Linked DNA regions of Tribolium castaneum. The protein of the gene in region 2 purifies or fractionates together with the protein of the main gene of each other region. This does not show direct contact. Links are inferred from orthologs where the notes say so. Each region holds a gene or a part of one and is shown on either strand. Other genes may lie near its edges. The genes, in order: exosome complex component MTR3, Mpp6, Rrp4, Rrp45, Csl4 and exosome complex component RRP43.

Region 1 (2,771 bases), on a different chromosome or scaffold from region 2:
TTTGCATCTTCAACCGTATTCCCAGCATTTTGATAAATATGGGACAGTGCGCAAAGAATTAACGCTCAATTTACGTTCCATTTTATATTTTTGCGAATGCTGCGAATATGGTTGAAGATACAAAAAATTGTAAAGAAGTAATTTTTTTTCAAAAAGTCTAGGACATCATATTTCTATACTTTCAACGGTTTAATTTCTGAATTTGACCACCACGGAGACCAAGAAAAAAATTAAAAAGGTATTATTTTTTATTCGTTTATTGTTTGAGCAAAATCTTAAATTCTTCCAATACTACTTTGAAGTGTATGTCAAGAAGTACTTCTCAGTATAAATTATATCGTGTTGAAAGTGTTTAAAAAAGACTGAATTACTAAAGTCTGTATTATTGGTTGCATAACATCCCAAAGTTCTCATACTTCGCGAATTTTTTTTTGTTTTTTTAACTCCATATTTGTAATAAAAATTCAACTTTAGTGCCTTACTTGACAGTGAAAAAAATATTTAAATAAAATATAATTTATTTCTTTAATCTTCAACAATTCTTACACTCTTAATAACATGTTTCACAAGACATTTCTTAACTAAAGTAACGATGTCCTTAGCAGCATTAGTAAGCATCTCAATGCCTGAACTCAAGCAAGCGTACGACAAATATCCACTCTGATAAAATTGTGAAATTTGCTCATGTGTCGCTAAAACCGACAGCACAACAATCCCGTGATTGTTTTCCTCTTCTTTAAACAGAGGAACTTGACATAAACGTTCTTCTTCTAAAGTTGGATCGACCAAAAGATGATTCCCTTGCACAGCTAAAGTCACTGACGTTATTAAATCATACATTGGAATCCCAGCATGTGCTAAGGCGACCCCAGCTGCCGTGATAGCCGCACTTAGAGCAGCCCCATCATTGTGCAGCACCATTGCGTAAATATCGACTTGAAAATTCGGAAACTCGTGCCTGAATACTGCCGATTCCAACGCTTGTTTCATAATAGCACTGAACTGTTGTTCCTCAGCGTCTTGCTGGTGCAACCTACGTTTGTGGCAGCTGAAGGGTGCAAATTTAAACTCGCAGTAGATTTCGCCCTTGGAACTGTAGTCAGTTTTGTTGGGTATCTCGCGGGGGTCGAATACAGACACGATTACTTTGGTTTGGTCTAATTCAATGTACGCTGAGCCTTTGGCCTGGCTAACAACCCCAGTTTTCAAGACTAGAAAATTAAAAATTAGATCAAGGAACACGCAAGGGCCTAAAGACAAATTACATATTTTTCGATGTTCGGTTGATGTCCTGCCATCGGCTCGTGTCCCATTCGGCTGCACTATTTCACTGAATTGGGTTTTCAACGATTTTGTATTTAATTTGTCGAATAGTTGGTACGGAATTGAAATTTCCGGACCGTTGATTCTTTTGTGATCCACGGGCATAGTGTATTTTGCAAATTATATTTTAAATCTCTCAGTTCAAGGTTATGTTAGAAAAAAGTAAGGTTATATAGCTAATTGTCAACCATTCCAAGTTCAAGGTTTACAAGTCTCACAAAGTCGAATAATAGAAAACACAATTAATTTAATTCTTTTTCATAAAAACTACGTTAGGCGCGTATTAATTTGTGCCGTTGTACAGCAACATATAGTTAGAGTAAATGTTAGACTTATTTATTCGCATTTTTGGATTTATGTTTTCTGGTGGTTCGCTTTCAAGGGGATTGTCAACAAAACGTCAAATTTGGCGCAACTTTGTGTAAACTTGTTGCTGTTGTTCTTTTTGATTGTTTACTGTTAATTAATTAATCAAGGTGAGAAATGTTACTACCTATTGATAATACGTTTATAAATAAAGATGTTTTATGAACTTATTCTTTTCAGATGTCAGATAACGAAGACGTAGGAGACGAATCTGCAAGTTCTAACACGTTTTACAAACCATCTTTCGTCCTCATTGCAATCGATACCGACCCTTCGATGTTTGTTAAAAACGAAAGCGATGGCAATACCCCGTTTAAGGATTGCATTTCTGCCTGTTATAATCTGGCAAATTCGCTAATATTTGTCCAAAATAAGCGAAGCTGGAGCCCTTTTGGTGTGGTATTGGCACGTGAAGATGCTTCAGCGTCGCTTGTCAATTTCAACGATAACATCTTACAATCAATAAAATTGCTTAAAGAAAAGAATGAATTGTCGCAGGAAAAATTGTTGGATATGTATGAAAGAAAAAGCGGCTTAAATTTGAGTTCATTTTTCCTCTTTTGCAAAAAAAAGTTCAAGGAAGTCAATTCGGTGTTCTACAAAAGAACGATCATTTTCATAACCAACGACGATAACCCCGTTCGTGGTGACAAGAACCAAAGATTTGCTGCACTTAACGAAGCAAAAAATTTCGAGTCTAATGATATCACTTTCGAGTTGGTGACCATGAAGCCCAACTTCGATTATAAAATTTTCTACAATGAGTTATTTTCAATCATTAAGAGCCCTCCCGTTGAGACAGTTGTGGAAGATGAAGATGGTTTATTTGAGAAACTTTCTTCCTCAGTTGTCAGGAGATTTTATCAAAGGAGGTTGCTGTTTTTCCCTTTTGCGAATGACCAAACACGGTTTCTTAAAATCAGGCAGAAGTCGTTTGTCCAAGAGGAACGACTTTACAACAACGCTTCCGTTTCCGAAAGTGGAAAACTTTTGAAAAAGGTTTCAAAAACAGTAAATGACTCCATTGAAACCTACAAGCTTGACTATGAGTTAGGCTCACTCGAGTTCAGTGTTAGTGAACG
Region 2 (2,179 bases):
AGGGCCGCTTTTTACTGAGTTTATGTACTGGATGCAAGTGAGGAACATGAAGTCCTCTCCATACTGGTTTAAAATTTGCGGCACCAAAAAACCCGACGGTTCAATGATCGGATGGGCTAAACAAACATAGTGGAAAAAACTTGGATGGAAATTGCGTTAATCTTAATTTTTTTAACTTAAATTTGGCCCAAATTTTTCCGAAGCGTTTTGTAAACCGAGAGTTTTTTTGTTTACTTACCAAACAGCTGCGAGCTGCCCCAAATAAACGGCACAAACTGGTAGTCGTCCAGACTCCAAACGCCGTGACTTCCGGCGGGCTCCATCCGGTAGGTCTTTTGTAATTTCCGCGCCAAGTCCAAATACCGCGTAAAAATGGCACAGCCAGTGGCTGTCTTATCATGTTGTTTCAAAAACCCGATTTTATACAAACAGCACAGGAACATAATGAATGAAATTTCGTGCCCCGTCCCGTAGTCAATCCGTGTGGAATTCCCGAACGATTCCACCAAATATGAAACGATCTCGGGGACGGCGGCATTTAATTCAGTCGGGAGCACATCCTGGAGCAAGACAAGCGACTCCTGGAAAACGCCCGTCAGAATAGAAACAAACGCGAATTTGTGGACCCACATCTCGCAGTTTCTGGTACCAGGTCCTGAACGCCACGTTTCCGAACCTTTGGGGCTGTTGTACAGCGGGCGTTTCGTCGATTTTCGTGTCAAGCTTGTTCAACAACTCGATCACTTTCTGGACTTCCTCGGAGGCGTTTTCGCTCCCGCGCGAATTGCTTTTGCCTTTAACTGCCTCGTTTATGGCCAGAATGAACCCCAAAAATTCCTATGGAATGAGAGTGTTAGATGAGGTCACGCCTAGAGGGAATTGTACAAAATAGGCCTCGGATTTCTCCCAGATTTTCATATCAGCCGGTGTTTTGATCAGTTTTGTGGGGACTTCGAAGACGTGGTCGGACCCCACTGGAACAAGCCGGTGAAAAAGGGGGAAAGAACGATGGGGAAATACCTGTGGTGGCAACGGAGGCCGCCGAGCGGCCCCGCGGGGCCGCAGGCCCGATACCCACCGCGAAAGACTCGGACATAATTGTTCTATTCATTTTATTTGTTTAATAAACACAAATCATAACCTTTCAATGATAAAAATGGCACGTCAAAGTGACAACTGACAGTTCTTCTAACCTAACAAATTATATTTTTTTGAAAAGTGTTTTATACATTGTTTTTCACTGAGCCAAAAGTATGCAAGGGCCTAAACCAGTTCAATTGTCCAAGTCCATCCTGGACATGAAGTTTATGAAACGTACGAAGGAAAGGGTGCTCAAGGAGCAGGAAGATGCCGAGGGCAAAGCCATGTATTCCAATGAAATCACCGACGAAATGAAGAAAAGCGGGACCATTGTATTCACAGAAACGAGTATCTTTAACTGCCGAAATTTAATCGAAGGGCGCTTATCATTTGGTGGCATGAATCCGGAAATAGAGAAACTGATGTCTAACGATTACACTAGGAAGAAACAAGAGGTGGAAAAACGCAAAGAAACCGACGTTAGTGACGCCCAAATGGCTCAGGAATACTCCACTCTAGTTAACACAATGGCAAATAAATTCAGCGGGAAGAAAAACAGAAATAAGCGGAAGTTTATAAAGCCATCTGAAGACTTCTAGTTAACCTAGTTTCGTATTTTGATTACATTGTATAAACTTTTTTTTGAATAAATTGAAGCCTGATATCTTATTTGTGCCAATTTTGTATTTTTAGCTCGCAAATCACCCTTTTAACGGCTGGTTTTGAGCGTAATTATGCGTAAATTGCGACTCATAACAACGTTATCAGCCGATAATTTTGTGTTTACTTGGTTATCTGTTTCTGATTCATTAAAAAAATGCATAGACAAAGCAAGCACGTGCCAAAATTTGCACAAGCTTTCAAACTTCCCGCTTTAGCGCTTGCGCAGATCTGTCGTCCTTTCTTATCAAATCTGTGCTCGTGTTGAATTGGTGAGTCCAATAATCAATTTTTTCCCCAATAGTAAACAAATTTAAATATAAAGTCCACATTTTCCGAGTTCGCATTTGAGATTTTTATGCCGCGAAATCAGTACATAAACACTGACTGACGTAGTTTGAAATATCGCTGAGAGGTTATATAAGATTCTAATTTTAAT
Region 3 (2,961 bases), on a different chromosome or scaffold from region 2:
GGTGTGACTTGTGCCTTATTAGTTCTACTTTACATCAGTACGCTGTTCTGTTACTACATGAAGAAGTGGTTAAATCCCGGGAAACACATCGCTTGAAGATTTAGAGACACTTTGGTGCTTTAATCAAGTTTGATCTTTCGGTTGAGTTGACGAGCAGCATTGTTAGTTCTGTGATATCGTTAACTCGAGATGAGATATCAAATAGGGAATTCCCCGACTCTACATTATGCAATATGTATTTTTTAAGGATTTTTTTTCGGGAAGGTGGCGGCCTTGGTGATGGAAGCTTTATTTTACCGTTGCAAAAGTTATACTTTCTTGATCTCTTATTAAAACTAATTTGCACTGACTCTCGTTCCTAGAGCAAATTTTGTAACGGTAAACAGTCTAATTCGTGTACTTATTTATTTTATTTATTTACTTTTTTGTATATATCTCGACTAGGCTAACATTATTTATATCGATTATTTTATACACGTTCTCAAGTCGAATAATAGACATTTTTTATAAGAAAAAACTATTTATTATGAATTTTCCAACATGCTTAACCTATCCTGAGTCAAAATTGCTACATCGACCATAGCTTCAGGAATCAATAATTCAGCCACTGAATATTTCTGTGATTCTTCAAAAGCATACAAAATGCTAGTATCGTACAGCATCATTTTACTTTGAATAAGCGCCAAAATACAGTTTCGAAGACGTCCAATTGTTTCTCTTTCTGGCCTTGAAACGACCTAAAAACACCACAGTAGCAAAAAAAAACAACAAAACTATTGTGAGACACAACTTGTTCCAAATTTTGCACAAAGCCACCAGCGTTATCCTCAGCATTTGAAACAGTTGGATAAATCCAAATAAACCCATTATTGCCCAAAATAATACTAGCCCCAACATAGAAATTGTGAAAATGTGTTTTGCTCCTTTTAATGAGCGAGGGAAAGACTTTAACTAAAATACCTTGAGAAAGCTACAATCAAAAATGAACGTATAATCAAAACGTAACGAAAAACACGAGACAAACTTTTCCATATTTCAAACTTCTAGTATGTAAAGATAAAGAACCATCTGAATAAACGCTCTGTACTTCGGCACTTATAAGATCGCCCTCTTGAAGATATTGTCTCATCATATGCTCGTCTTCTGCTGATCTACGCCGCTGAAATTTAATATTGCCAACTTACTTGCAAAATTAACGACCAAAAAAATCTTTTATGTACCAGTTCCCCTCCTGGTAAATTAACGGAAGACAACAACAAGACCGAATCCAGACGCGAATTCGTATCAACTTTCCAGCGTTTTTGTTGGACTTCTGTGACTCGTCCAACCACCACATCACCCACTTCACCATTATATCGACTTTTTAACGGACGAATCGAAATCAAATTATTTACTTGTTCCTTAACTCCAGCAACTGATGATTTTAAAAAACCCTCTTCTTCGTACGTACCATGCCCTCTATTTAGAAAAATCGCAAAATTTCAAAAAAAAACACGAGACAAACCTAACCTCATAAATTCATTTTGCTCCGTAATCACTTGTCCCGGAGTAAATATCTTTGGAACTCGACGGTTAACAGCAATTGAGGGGTTGATGCGATGAGCGGCAAGGCGTATGTGAATTTTTTGCGGCATGTTCTTGCAAAACACTCGAACCGCATTTGAGATTAGAAACAACAATTACTGGGTTAGGCAAGCAACAATACGCAAGTACGCAATCTATATAAAATTGTGACTTCTCTGTTATCAATCTGAATTATTATTGAAACTTGTTTTTAATTTTCTATTTTGTCGGTTTTATGTGTAATTTAATTATTAAAAGGAAATTTTTGTTTTTTGGTATTTTTAATGACTGTTGTGGTAGTCGTGCATGTCATTTGAAACATGTCATATGTGTTTTGACAATTGATAATTTTATTTAAGAAAAAATAATTGTATAATACCGGTCAGGTGAGGCAAAATTTTCTTTTCCACATTGAAATGAAAAAATTTTAAATTTGTTATTACCATAATGTAAGGCGTATTAGGAAATCAAAATTAAATTATTCTAACCTCACTTTTGCGATTTGTCTTACACACAAGTTAAAATTTATTGAAAATAATTCGTATATTGTTGTGTATTATAATAAATTGTGGTTCTCAAGGGGGAAATGATTATAATTCACAATGAATACGGGATCAACACAAGACATCGTAATTGAAGTTCTGCAAAGAGCCTCGAGTCAAAATCCAGAAGTGTTAAAACCGGCTGAAGCCAAATTACGGGAATGGGAAACTCAACCTGGATTTTACACAGTTTTATTTGTACGTATTGGGCAAAAAACACAATTAAATAATACACCATTCTTCAGAATGTTTTATCTAACCACTCGCTTGATATAAACGTACGGTGGATTGCAGTTTTGTATATAAAAAATGGTATTGAACGATATTGGAGAAAAAACGCACCAAAGTAAGTCACGCAAGTTGTAATGTACCTAACTAAAGTTAATGTCCATTTCTAGCGCTATTTTAGAGGCAGAAAAACAAAACATTAAACACGGTTTAATTTTAAGTTTTAACGAACCCGTTAGTCAGATTGCGGTACAAAGAGCGGTTTTAATTTCGAAAATTGCACGAATTGATTGTCCGAAAGAGTGGCCCGAATTATTTCCGACTTTACTACAAGTAATTGAAAGTCCTGATTCTCTAGTCCAACATCGAGGATTTTTAACTCTTCATCATGTAGTTAAAGCCATTGCTTCGAAACGGTTAACAGGCGATCGCCGTTTTTTCCAAGAGTTTTCCAGTAATATTTATTCGTTTGTGTTGAATTTATGGAATAATTTCACCGAACAATTTATGAATGATGTAATGAAAGGCGCAGCTTCGCAACTAGTTCTTACAAATTTGGAAAAAGCACTATTGACTTTGAGGATTTTACGCAAATTGACTGTTTTTGGTTTTTATAAACCGCATCAAA
Region 4 (3,420 bases), on a different chromosome or scaffold from region 2:
CAAGCGCATCCAGAAGACAGTGACGCAAAGGAGGTTAAATTTGTGTATTGATAATTCAGTAAGTCGAACGCAAAGTTCAATCGGAAAATTATTGTTGTTTTGCCAGGCGAAGCATATTTACATCTGCGACTTTCACAAGATGATCATCCAGTGTGCAAGGACCAAGAGGAGGAGGAAGGATTCGGAGGATGACAGCAATGAGACGGACACTGACGTGCCAGAAGTCGACCTGTTTCAGCTAGGAGTCAACACTTTGAGGAGGTACAAAAGGCACTACAAAGTTTCCGCAAGACCTGGACTGAACAAGGCACAACTGGCAGATGTGAGTCGGTTAAAATCCACGTTTTGTATTAATTATTACATTCACAGACTCTAATGAAACACTTTAAGTCGATCCAAGTCAAGGAGAAGGAAGTTGTCACATTTTTTATTTATACAGTCAAAACAAACAGCAATAAGCTTGACCAAAAGAACGGTGTGAACAATGACGCCACTTGAAGTTAGGTCCTTAGAAGTTTTATTAAATTATTACACTTTAAGAAAAAAATGCATTTAATAAAAAACCACAAGTTATTTTTTATTTTTGACAGGCCCTAGTATCACCACATCGTCTTCCTCACTGTCTGTTAGGAGTTCGATTTGAACTGAAAAAAAAACATGATTTTAGTTTCAATTAAGTTAAGTAATACCTTTAGGTTTTTCGACTATTATTAAGTCATCGTCACTGTTATTATCAACGTCCCAGACTTCTTTCTTGTTTTCGGTCTGAGGCACATGTTCCACTGACCCTTTGTCAATAACGACCGTATTCTGGGATTGTGGCTGTGCTTTTTTATGTTTTTTATTTCTTTTCTTTTTATTCGTATGCCATGTATCAAGGCTCTGGCCAAAGACTAGAGTTGTTTTGAAATTATCTTCAGTATGAAAGCCTACCGAAGCCTTCTCTTGCCTGAAATTTAATTTATAACTCGGCAACATGTTGTTGGTTTTACCTTTGTTCAGTATCGGCCTTAACTGATTTTTTTATTTCTTCTATCACAACAGTAGCTCGAGATGTGGCTTTAGAAACTGTACTCAGGATAATACTTGGTGCAAGTTCAGCTTTTCCCCCTAAATGTAGGGCACACAGTTCTTTAAAGCCGTTGAGGCCTATTGTTAGCATTGCATCTGCGGAACCTTCCTCAAGTAGTGACGGGTCCGCAAGAATATACTCCCTAAGAGAAAAAAACTGCAAGTCCTTTTAATAAAATGCTCATTTTTTACGGATAAACGCTGCGAATACACGCAAAAAAATGTTGTAGAGAATTAAATTTCCTACAAGCAAGTCCGCAAATTGAAAATTCTAAGTGATAATTCGTGCAGCTAAAGTATTTTTTGTGGATAACATGATAATACAAGCTTTCAATTAAATTTTCAAAAGGTGTTTTACCCTCCATTAAAAATAGCGTATGTTATGCAGACTGGATAGTGGTGTATAACCGTAGGAATGGGGTCCCTTTGTTGGTAACTGTGAATGATGAATTCTTCGCCATCACAAGTGACATCGGGGCGCCTAAAATGAGTCAAAGAAGCCAACATGGCGATCGAGGCGCAGTCCAGAATATTCCCCTCATGGTTTAAAACATTAATATCCACCTTCAAAGCCCATACTTTTTCGTTGGTTTTAATGCACAATGATTCCAAATCAACAGCTTTAGAATCTTTAACACATTTTTCCAAAAGTCGGTTCAACTGCACTGACAATTCCGACTGTCTGCCCGCTTCGAAATGAGGGGCTGCCAGTGGGTTCAACTCGATATTTATGTTTAGAATTCCTTCACTAGGTCGTGAAGACTTGGGTTGTTGGATTTCGCATGATGTTTGAGCTAAAACTCTATTCCTTTACTGAAGTCAGTGTTTCATAAGTGAAGGTTACTTTGTGTTGCCGAGAGAAACGTAACAGGAACCCCACTGTTTGCCAAATTTCAGCTCTAGTGGCCTGAACTCGTCAAAACTTCGACCATCTAACCTCTAAATGGAAGATGGAATTAAATTGTAAATTAAATGTGCCGCTTTTACCCTCCACTCCGACAAGCATTTCATCAAAAACTTTCGTTCACAGTTTGTAATAAGTGTTTCCCGTACTTTCGACATTTTTATTTTCAAATTTCAAAATATTTTTTGTAACAAAGAAGTGTGGTTAGAAAAAATACATCGGCAATACAGGAATCTATATTTTAAACAATACACTTGGTGGCTTTTTACACATTTTTGCACAACAAATGGACCGGTGTTTACCACAAAATGCCTGTTATATTATCAATTTGATAATACAAACCAAATTTAATAAATAATTTACGATTTATAAAATAGGATAGAGGTCGCTAGAAAAAGACTCAAGCGGAAATTGCGTCCGCCATTTTCTTCCTCTTTAAAACGTGTTCTGTAAGGCAGGTAGGTTAAGCACAAAAATCATGTTTATTTCATAATTTTGATAAAATTGAACTACAAATAAACGTTACAGTGTTGAGATATTGGTCTTATAATAACTTGTGCCCTTTTTGCAGGTCTGAAAAATGACGAACTCGAAAGGTTATCGTAGGGGAACCCGGGACCTGTTCTCTCGGAAGTTCCGCAAGCATGGGGTTATCCCCCTGTCGACGTACATGAAAGTGTACAAAGTCGGCGATATCGTGGATATTAAGGGCAATGGAGCCGTTCAGAAGGGCATGCCCTACAAGGTGTACCATGGGAAAACTGGCCGTGTGTTCAATGTGACGGCTCACGCTTTGGGTGTGATTGTTAACAAGCGTGTTGGGGGCCGTATTATCCCCAAACGTATCAATATCCGTATTGAGCACGTGAATCACTCCAAGTGCAGGCAAGACTTCTTGACCAGAGTGAAACAAAACGAAAAATTGCGAAAAGAAGCTAAGGAGAAGAACATTCGAGTGAATTTGAAGAGACAGCCAGCACAGCCAAGGCCTGCACACATCGTCAGTGGGAAAGTACCAGCCGTTCAATTGGCTCCTATCCCATATGAATTTATTGCTTAATTTGTACGCCTTTTGTGTAATAAAGACATAAAACAAATTTGGGTGTTTGAAATGAAACGAGTCAGTGCATTTTTTCAAATATATTTATATCTAACGAATATTTACAGAATAAAAATAAAATCTGCTTAGCAGCATTTATACAGTATGTTCTAGTTTCTCATATAATATTTAAAAGTTGTATAGTATTTGTTAACAAAATAAGAAGAGTGAATTTTACTTTTTTACCGTGTAGGGGACATAATACTCGCTAAATTAGATGCACGGTTTGGTTACCACCTAAGAATTATTGCTAATTGGAATAAATATAAGGTTTGTAAAAAACAAATTAAGTAAACAAGTAAAATTCACCATACAGTCAATTATTCCTATGCTGTTCCACCACAAT
Region 5 (2,791 bases), on a different chromosome or scaffold from region 2:
AATTTATTCATCTTTTAAAAACTGCTCATCCGCTTTATTGAAGTCTTCGCTTAAACTTTGGGGCACTTTAAGTGTCTTCAAATCATCTTCTCCAATTTCCTCCTCGGTGCGTATCAAAATATCGACCAAATTTTCACACGCTAAAAGCACCTTTCTGTCCTTTTCCCACTTGTGCAACTCGCGCAAAATCACATAAGTGTTTCTCTCTCTGATAAATTCTCGATTTTTTCTCTTGGCACATAACTGGGTCAAAGCCTCCAGTAACATGCACCTGATATCTGGATCTTCTTCACGCTGTTTCTCCTCCGGGAGATATTGCAGTTCAAGGGGGAGCTTGTCGTTGTCTTCGTCGTCAAATTCCTCGTTTCCGGCCAGGGGGCGGAGCAGCCGGGGCAAGATATCGACATGGGGGCCCAAGAGCAGCTCATGACACTCGGGGTCAAATGTGCAGTTACGCAGGGCCCCCACGACGCCCCCGCGCCTCACGGCCGACTCCTCGAATTCAATGAAAGGCACGAGTTTGTGGATCCGGTCCAGGAAGCGTCTCCGGACGCGCCCACTTTGCGACAAGTTCGAAAAAAGGGGGCTCAAGTAGTGGAGGTTAGCCCCCGCTTTATTGTACTGTTTTTTCGTGAAAATGTCAATCAAATCGTCCAAACTTGCGCTTTTCTCAAGCGCATCAATCACTTTATCGTGATTGGCCCGAGATAAGTTCGATAAAATCATGCAGGAAAAATCGGCGATTTTACTCATGGGGTCCGTCACGAATTTAACAACAGTCGAAGTAATGTCACTCGGGGGGCTCTGTAAAGGGGGGCACCCCACACTCGTGTCCAAATCAAGCAATGCCAGGGCCCCCTTGTGATCAGCAGAGACATTAACAAGGCAAAGTGCCGAGTCTTTGACAATTGTGGCGTTATTATCACTCAAAAGTGTGATTAAGGAGACCAGAAGTGACGGTGTGTTGATTAATGTGGCAATTCCGTCCGCATTCCCCGTCAAACCTACAAAAAAATTACAAAAAACAAGTCTAACCTCGAACCCTATTACCCAAAATGTGCCCCAAAGCCACCGATTTGAGGTCCAAACGGGCCCCCAGATGCACAAACTGCAACAATTCGGCCACGGAATCACCCATTATCAGGCTAAAGCCCCCAAAAAAAAACAAAACACGAGGGGTGACAGCTGTCAAAAAAGTGGGGTTAGGTGGCAAAAAATCATTCTAATAAGTAAGGCATTATTTTTTTAGGTTTATCTCTACGTTGTATGTATATACAGGGTGTAATGAGTAGTTAAATAAACATAACATAAACCAGTTTATTTAATTCTGTAGCCAAATTAATGGTCGTAATTGGTAATTAATGTTAATTAATGAATGAGAAAGTAAAATTTTGCAAATTCGTTTTTTGACAATTGACAGTGACACTTGACGTAACCTCAAAAAAATCAAAAATTTCGTTTTTGTGCTGATTTTTCGCATGTTATAGCTCCTTGTGTGCCTTTGATTGGCTTTGAACGTCGTCTGCCGTGATAATAATATTGACAGTAAAAGGAACACGCAGTTTTTGAAATTTCTTCATGTCAATTGACATTTGACTTAACCTCAAAAAAAATCAAAAATTTCGTTTTTTGTTGATTTTGGGCATGTCATCGCCCCTTGTGTGCCTCCCGGGGCAGCGGCTGTGCCTGTCGGACCCCTCGCACGTGTCCGGTCAAGGCACGTACGAGCGTGGGGGCTACATCTACGCCACCCTTGCCGGTGTTGTGGACATTGTCCCCAAAGACAACGTCCAGATCATTGAAGTGCGCAGTTCCGGGCAGGAAACGCTCGTGCCGTCACAGGGCGACATCGTCACAGCGCAAATTCACACAATCACGCAGCAGTTTTGCAAATGCTACATTAAGTGTGTCGGGGATAAGGTTTTGGGGCGGCAGTATCGCGGGATTTTGCGGAAGGAGGACGTGCGAGCGACGGAGAAGGACCGCGTGGAGATTTACAAGAGTTTCAGGCCCGGGGACGTGATTCTGGCGAGGGTTTTGCCGATCACGGAAGCTCACACTTATCAGTTGTCCACGGCTGAGAATGAGCTGGGGGTCGTGACGGCGCACTCGGAACATGGGGGGCTTATGGTGCCTGTGAGCTGGACGGAGATGCAGTGCTCCAAGACGTTTGTGAAGGAGGCCAGGAAGGTTGCAAGAGTTGTGCCAGAAAGCGTGCAAAATGATGTGAAATAATGTTCAATAAATTGTATTTTTGTTTATTTTAATAAACCCTTTTGCGTCCCTTAAAAGTGCAAAAAAGTTAATTGAACTATTAGAGATAACCCTATAAAGTTTATAATCGTTGGAAAGCTCTTTGGATTATCTATTTTTTTCAAAAATGATTATTGTTCTCCGACTAATAGTTTTCGAGAAAATTGCAAGCAAAAGCAAAAATTGGAAACATTAAAAAAATCATAACTAAAAAACTATCGGGAATTTGGCGATTTTCTCGATGTCAATCGATTTCCCGGATCATTTTGCATAGGTAAGGATCAAAATAGTTCCACTTTTTCGAATAGTTTAGCCGTAATTCGATAAAAATTGAAAAACTTAAAAAATCACGCTGCTTCCTGAAAAACGTGCTCAAAAAACTTAAAAATAAACGCAGGCGCGAAAATTTGAATTTGAACCTAATTCTTTAAATATCTCGGAAACTAAGCGTTGGGCGCAATTTTGTTCTATGAGAGAAAAGATGCAACTTGATGTAGTCTAAGCGACGGTCTGGTTGAAATTGTAATTTTCAATAGTC
Region 6 (2,995 bases), on a different chromosome or scaffold from region 2:
GACGCTTTTGGCACATCTAAAGGCTCTAGAGAAAAGTCCACAAAAGATAGTTTTCAAGTTATAGGTAAAAATCGTAAATTGAAGTGTTCTCATGTTTTTAACATATCACAACGTAGAGTATGGAATATAATATACGAAATTAAAGCCATAATGAAATTTCCCGCCCCGAAAGTATTTCAAAAAAAGTCAAAGTTGTTAATAAAAAGGGCTTCAATCTGTTTTTTTTTTTTTAATTGAGAATAAATGTCAATGGATGTAAAAAAACTTGGAATAATTTTCTCGTCGTTCTTGAAGATACTTTACCTCATGTTCTTTGAGATAAGCAAAAATGCTATCCCTATACTCCTCCATTTCAAAAAAGACATCTCTAGCATTGGTATTTGTGGAAACCGTTTGCTCTTTGAGCTCAATGTTCTCCACATCTGATTTCTCAATGCTCATCGGAATCTCCGATTTTCTCTTAAGTTGAGGCGCAGTAATTTCCTTCAATTTCTCCAAATTCTTTTTCCTTTCAATTTCGGCAAGTTCTGTCTTCGTGATAAACCTGTCCTCGGCCGTCCCTTTATACACATTACTCTTACTGATAAGTTTGAGCCTTTCATCGATTCTCGCTCTGTATTCATCATCCTCATACACAGTAAACGCCTCAAACTGGGCCACCGGAACCACGACATTCTTCTTATTCTCGTTTTTTTGCCCATTTTCCACCCGGTTTCCCAAAACGGTTGGCTTCTTCGTCTGGCAAAAAAGCAAACGTTTTTCCCATCCAAAGTTACCTCCAACTGTTAATTACCTGTTTTCCTTTAAGGGCTGCGTTATTAACTTTATTACTGTCAATCTCGCCCAGAACGCCCCGTTTTTGCTGGGCAGTCGTTCCCGGTTTTCGGCGCAATTCCGGCACCCGGTTTTCCTGGTCCTGGTGAATTCTTATCGATGCCATTCCTCTAACACACGTGCAAGTTTCTAATACCCGAAAAACGAAAAGTTTGCTGAACCGAAGGCCAAACTGAACCCCAACTTAAACACCCAAGCTACCCCTAACCGACAAAACGACTGTTTTTAACGGCCAGATGCAAAGAGCGCAGAGTGCGGGAAACGAACAGCTGAGAGACCGTTGAAATGACAAACGGGACCAATGGGAGCCCAGATTTAAGCAACGTCACACGAGTGGGGATAACATGTTTTGAAGGGTTTAACGGAATTTTGCACTAAATCAAAAATCAATCGACAATACTTGTTCCCAACCAAATGCCCTATTTGCAAGCAAATGTCTTCATTACAAAAATTGCATTATTCAACCGAATTTACTCGTTTCAAATCAAACGTTTCCCCCACCGTTGTCGGCAACCAATCAAAACTAACGTCATTAATAATGTCAATTGTCAAAAACGAAAAACGTGGTTATAAACAAATTCAATAATGTCAGAACAATACAAGTAATAATTGTAGTACTGTGAATAAATAACAAGGTGATTATCCTATGTTTTAGGATTTTGCACCCCGTCAAGTACTTCCGCGACCACTTGGCCCACAAAATCCGACCTGATGGGCGCGAATTTGGGGAATATCGCCCCATCGTGGTCAATTTGGGCTCAATTTCGACAGCCGATGGGTCTGCGATTGCCAAAGTTGGTCGCACGACGGTAGTTTGCGGCATTAAAGCGGTGAGTGTAATTGGAGGCATTCAATTTGCTAAACCAAACCTTAGGAGTTGTGTCAGCCCAAGGCTGAGGCTGCAAACGAGGGGTTTTTGATCCCCAATGTGGAATTACCACCGTTGTGTTCGTCAAAATTTCGGCCAGGACCCCCAACTGAACAAGCCCAAGTAGCGACCCAGTTAGTTGCCGATATTTTAAAAAACTCTGATTGTTTAGACTTAAAAACGTTATGTATATTTCCAGACAAATTAGCTTGGTGTTTATATGCTGATTTAATTTGTTTGGATTTGGATGGGGCGTTGATAGACGCGTGTGTTGTTGCGTTAATGGCAGCGCTTAAGTCAGGTAAAGACAATATTGTTTTTTTGTGAAAAATATAATTGCGCTTCAGTTACTTTGCCAGCGGTTCAGTACGATCCAGCCCTTGACAACAAGCAAGTGAATGTGCAAGAGAGGAAAGCTCTTAGTGTTACCAACACTCCAATAGCAACAACGTTTGCAATGTTTGATGAGTAAGCTTATCATTGTTGTTGTAAACTTTTTAATTTTTTGATTGTAGTAAAATTCTCATAGACCCAACAGTGGATGAGGAGGACTTAAGTACGTCTTTGGTGACAATTGTGGTGAAGGAAGAAGAGTTGTGTTTTGTTCACAAGCCAGGTGGCTGTGTTTTTACGGAAGAGCAACTTTTAAAGTGTGTGGAAGAAAGTACAAAACGTGCAACTGTGATTGAGGAAATTATAGAAACAGCTTTTAAAAGTTTATAATAAAAACATTTTTTTTTATAAATGTATATCCTATATTATTTAAATAAAAATTTTAACAGGTTCCACAGTAGGTTGTGTGATCATTTAACCGAATTTAAAATTAAATCACCACACATTTATAAAAAAATCTATTGTCTTTGTTACAGGATTGAAAAAATAAAAATCGGGAAAAATCAACACTTTACATTTTAACGAGTATACATATTGGTATTGCCAAATATTCAACACGTGTCTGAATTTATGTACAAAAAATACGAAACATTGCAAATAATATACATTATTACAAAATACTACAACTCACCACATAATCACATATGATACAAATGTAGAGACTAAGGATGTTAGATATTTTTACAAAGTATTTTACACATTTCGTTCAAAAGGGAAATAAGTCTACTGTATGTACAGTTAAAAGTTTGCGCCTAGGACAGGAATGGTAGTAGAAAAATACCAGGAACAATAAATAATAGGGGTTTTAATAAAAATTTGTATATTTTAACAATGTGTAATTTTACATCGTTGATGTTTTATAAAGTATAACATTTTGTCCTCGTTTATGCCTGATATCTT

What was found.
Region 1: the proteins of Mpp6 (region 2) and exosome complex component MTR3 purify together in Homo sapiens (affinity purification with mass spectrometry; 3 studies listed by BioGRID and IntAct, with this or other methods). This does not show direct contact. The link is inferred for Tribolium castaneum from reciprocal best matches to the Homo sapiens genes MPHOSPH6 and EXOSC6.
Region 3: the proteins of Mpp6 (region 2) and Rrp4 purify together in Homo sapiens (affinity purification with mass spectrometry; 8 studies listed by BioGRID and IntAct, with this or other methods). This does not show direct contact. The link is inferred for Tribolium castaneum from reciprocal best matches to the Homo sapiens genes MPHOSPH6 and EXOSC2.
Region 4: the proteins of Mpp6 (region 2) and Rrp45 purify together in Homo sapiens (affinity purification with mass spectrometry; 5 studies listed by BioGRID and IntAct, with this or other methods). This does not show direct contact. The link is inferred for Tribolium castaneum from reciprocal best matches to the Homo sapiens genes MPHOSPH6 and EXOSC9.
Region 5: the proteins of Mpp6 (region 2) and Csl4 purify together in Homo sapiens (affinity purification with mass spectrometry; 5 studies listed by BioGRID and IntAct, counting the BioPlex papers as one, with this or other methods). This does not show direct contact. The link is inferred for Tribolium castaneum from reciprocal best matches to the Homo sapiens genes MPHOSPH6 and EXOSC1.
Region 6: the proteins of Mpp6 (region 2) and exosome complex component RRP43 purify together in Homo sapiens (affinity purification with mass spectrometry; 4 studies listed by BioGRID and IntAct, counting the BioPlex papers as one, with this or other methods). This does not show direct contact. The link is inferred for Tribolium castaneum from reciprocal best matches to the Homo sapiens genes MPHOSPH6 and EXOSC8.

Annotation. Positions count from the first base shown.
Region 1 is NC_087396.1:13,656,015-13,658,785, forward strand, and holds exosome complex component MTR3, read right to left. Parts: upstream 1,569-2,771; 5' UTR 1,429-1,568; coding exon 1,266-1,428; intron 1,212-1,265; coding exon 526-1,211; 3' UTR 501-525; downstream 1-500. Other genes in the region: X-ray repair cross-complementing protein 6, read left to right, coding at 1,870-2,771. UniProt on the Homo sapiens protein: Non-catalytic component of the RNA exosome complex which has 3'->5' exoribonuclease activity and participates in a multitude of cellular RNA processing and degradation events.
Region 2 is NC_087398.1:4,380,038-4,382,216, forward strand, and holds Mpp6 (M-phase phosphoprotein 6), read left to right. Parts: upstream 1-1,253; coding exon 1,254-1,679; downstream 1,680-2,179. Other genes in the region: Ptpa (serine/threonine-protein phosphatase 2A activator), read right to left, coding at 1-116, 239-581, 631-837, 886-974, 1,021-1,111. UniProt on the Homo sapiens protein: RNA-binding protein that associates with the RNA exosome complex. Involved in the 3'-processing of the 7S pre-RNA to the mature 5.8S rRNA and play a role in recruiting the RNA exosome complex to pre-rRNA; this function may include C1D.
Region 3 is NC_087397.1:170,381-173,341, forward strand, and holds Rrp4 (exosome complex component RRP4), read right to left. Parts: upstream 1,716-2,961; 5' UTR 1,635-1,715; coding exon 1,510-1,634; intron 1,459-1,509; coding exon 1,221-1,458; intron 1,160-1,220; coding exon 1,025-1,159; intron 971-1,024; coding exon 791-970; intron 738-790; coding exon 525-737; 3' UTR 501-524; downstream 1-500. Other genes in the region: uncharacterized protein tyn, read left to right, coding at 1-96; Impbeta11 (importin-11), read left to right, coding at 2,166-2,303, 2,351-2,451, 2,504-2,961. UniProt on the Homo sapiens protein: Non-catalytic component of the RNA exosome complex which has 3'->5' exoribonuclease activity and participates in a multitude of cellular RNA processing and degradation events.
Region 4 is NC_087402.1:3,056,456-3,059,875, forward strand, and holds Rrp45 (uncharacterized protein Rrp45), read right to left. Parts: upstream 2,281-3,420; 5' UTR 2,134-2,280; coding exon 2,059-2,133; intron 2,011-2,058; coding exon 1,916-2,010; intron 1,874-1,915; coding exon 1,430-1,873; intron 1,215-1,429; coding exon 993-1,214; intron 950-992; coding exon 690-949; intron 645-689; coding exon 571-644; 3' UTR 501-570; downstream 1-500. Other genes in the region: histone deacetylase complex subunit SAP30 homolog, read left to right, coding at 1-58, 107-322, 370-498; RpL21 (large ribosomal subunit protein eL21), read left to right, coding at 2,556-3,035. UniProt on the Homo sapiens protein: Non-catalytic component of the RNA exosome complex which has 3'->5' exoribonuclease activity and participates in a multitude of cellular RNA processing and degradation events.
Region 5 is NC_087401.1:17,299,511-17,302,301, reverse strand, and holds Csl4 (exosome complex component CSL4), read left to right. Parts: upstream 1-1,344; 5' UTR 1,345-1,431; intron 1,432-1,487; 5' UTR 1,488-1,644; coding exon 1,645-2,235; 3' UTR 2,236-2,291; downstream 2,292-2,791. Other genes in the region: protein HGH1 homolog, read right to left, coding at 4-1,004, 1,051-1,138. UniProt on the Homo sapiens protein: Non-catalytic component of the RNA exosome complex which has 3'->5' exoribonuclease activity and participates in a multitude of cellular RNA processing and degradation events.
Region 6 is NC_087402.1:7,982,347-7,985,341, forward strand, and holds exosome complex component RRP43, read left to right. Parts: upstream 1-1,291; 5' UTR 1,292-1,419; coding exon 1,420-1,436; intron 1,437-1,489; coding exon 1,490-1,664; intron 1,665-1,708; coding exon 1,709-2,003; intron 2,004-2,049; coding exon 2,050-2,170; intron 2,171-2,217; coding exon 2,218-2,425; 3' UTR 2,426-2,495; downstream 2,496-2,995. Other genes in the region: CycA (G2/mitotic-specific cyclin-A), read right to left, coding at 304-738, 794-940. UniProt on the Homo sapiens protein: Non-catalytic component of the RNA exosome complex which has 3'->5' exoribonuclease activity and participates in a multitude of cellular RNA processing and degradation events.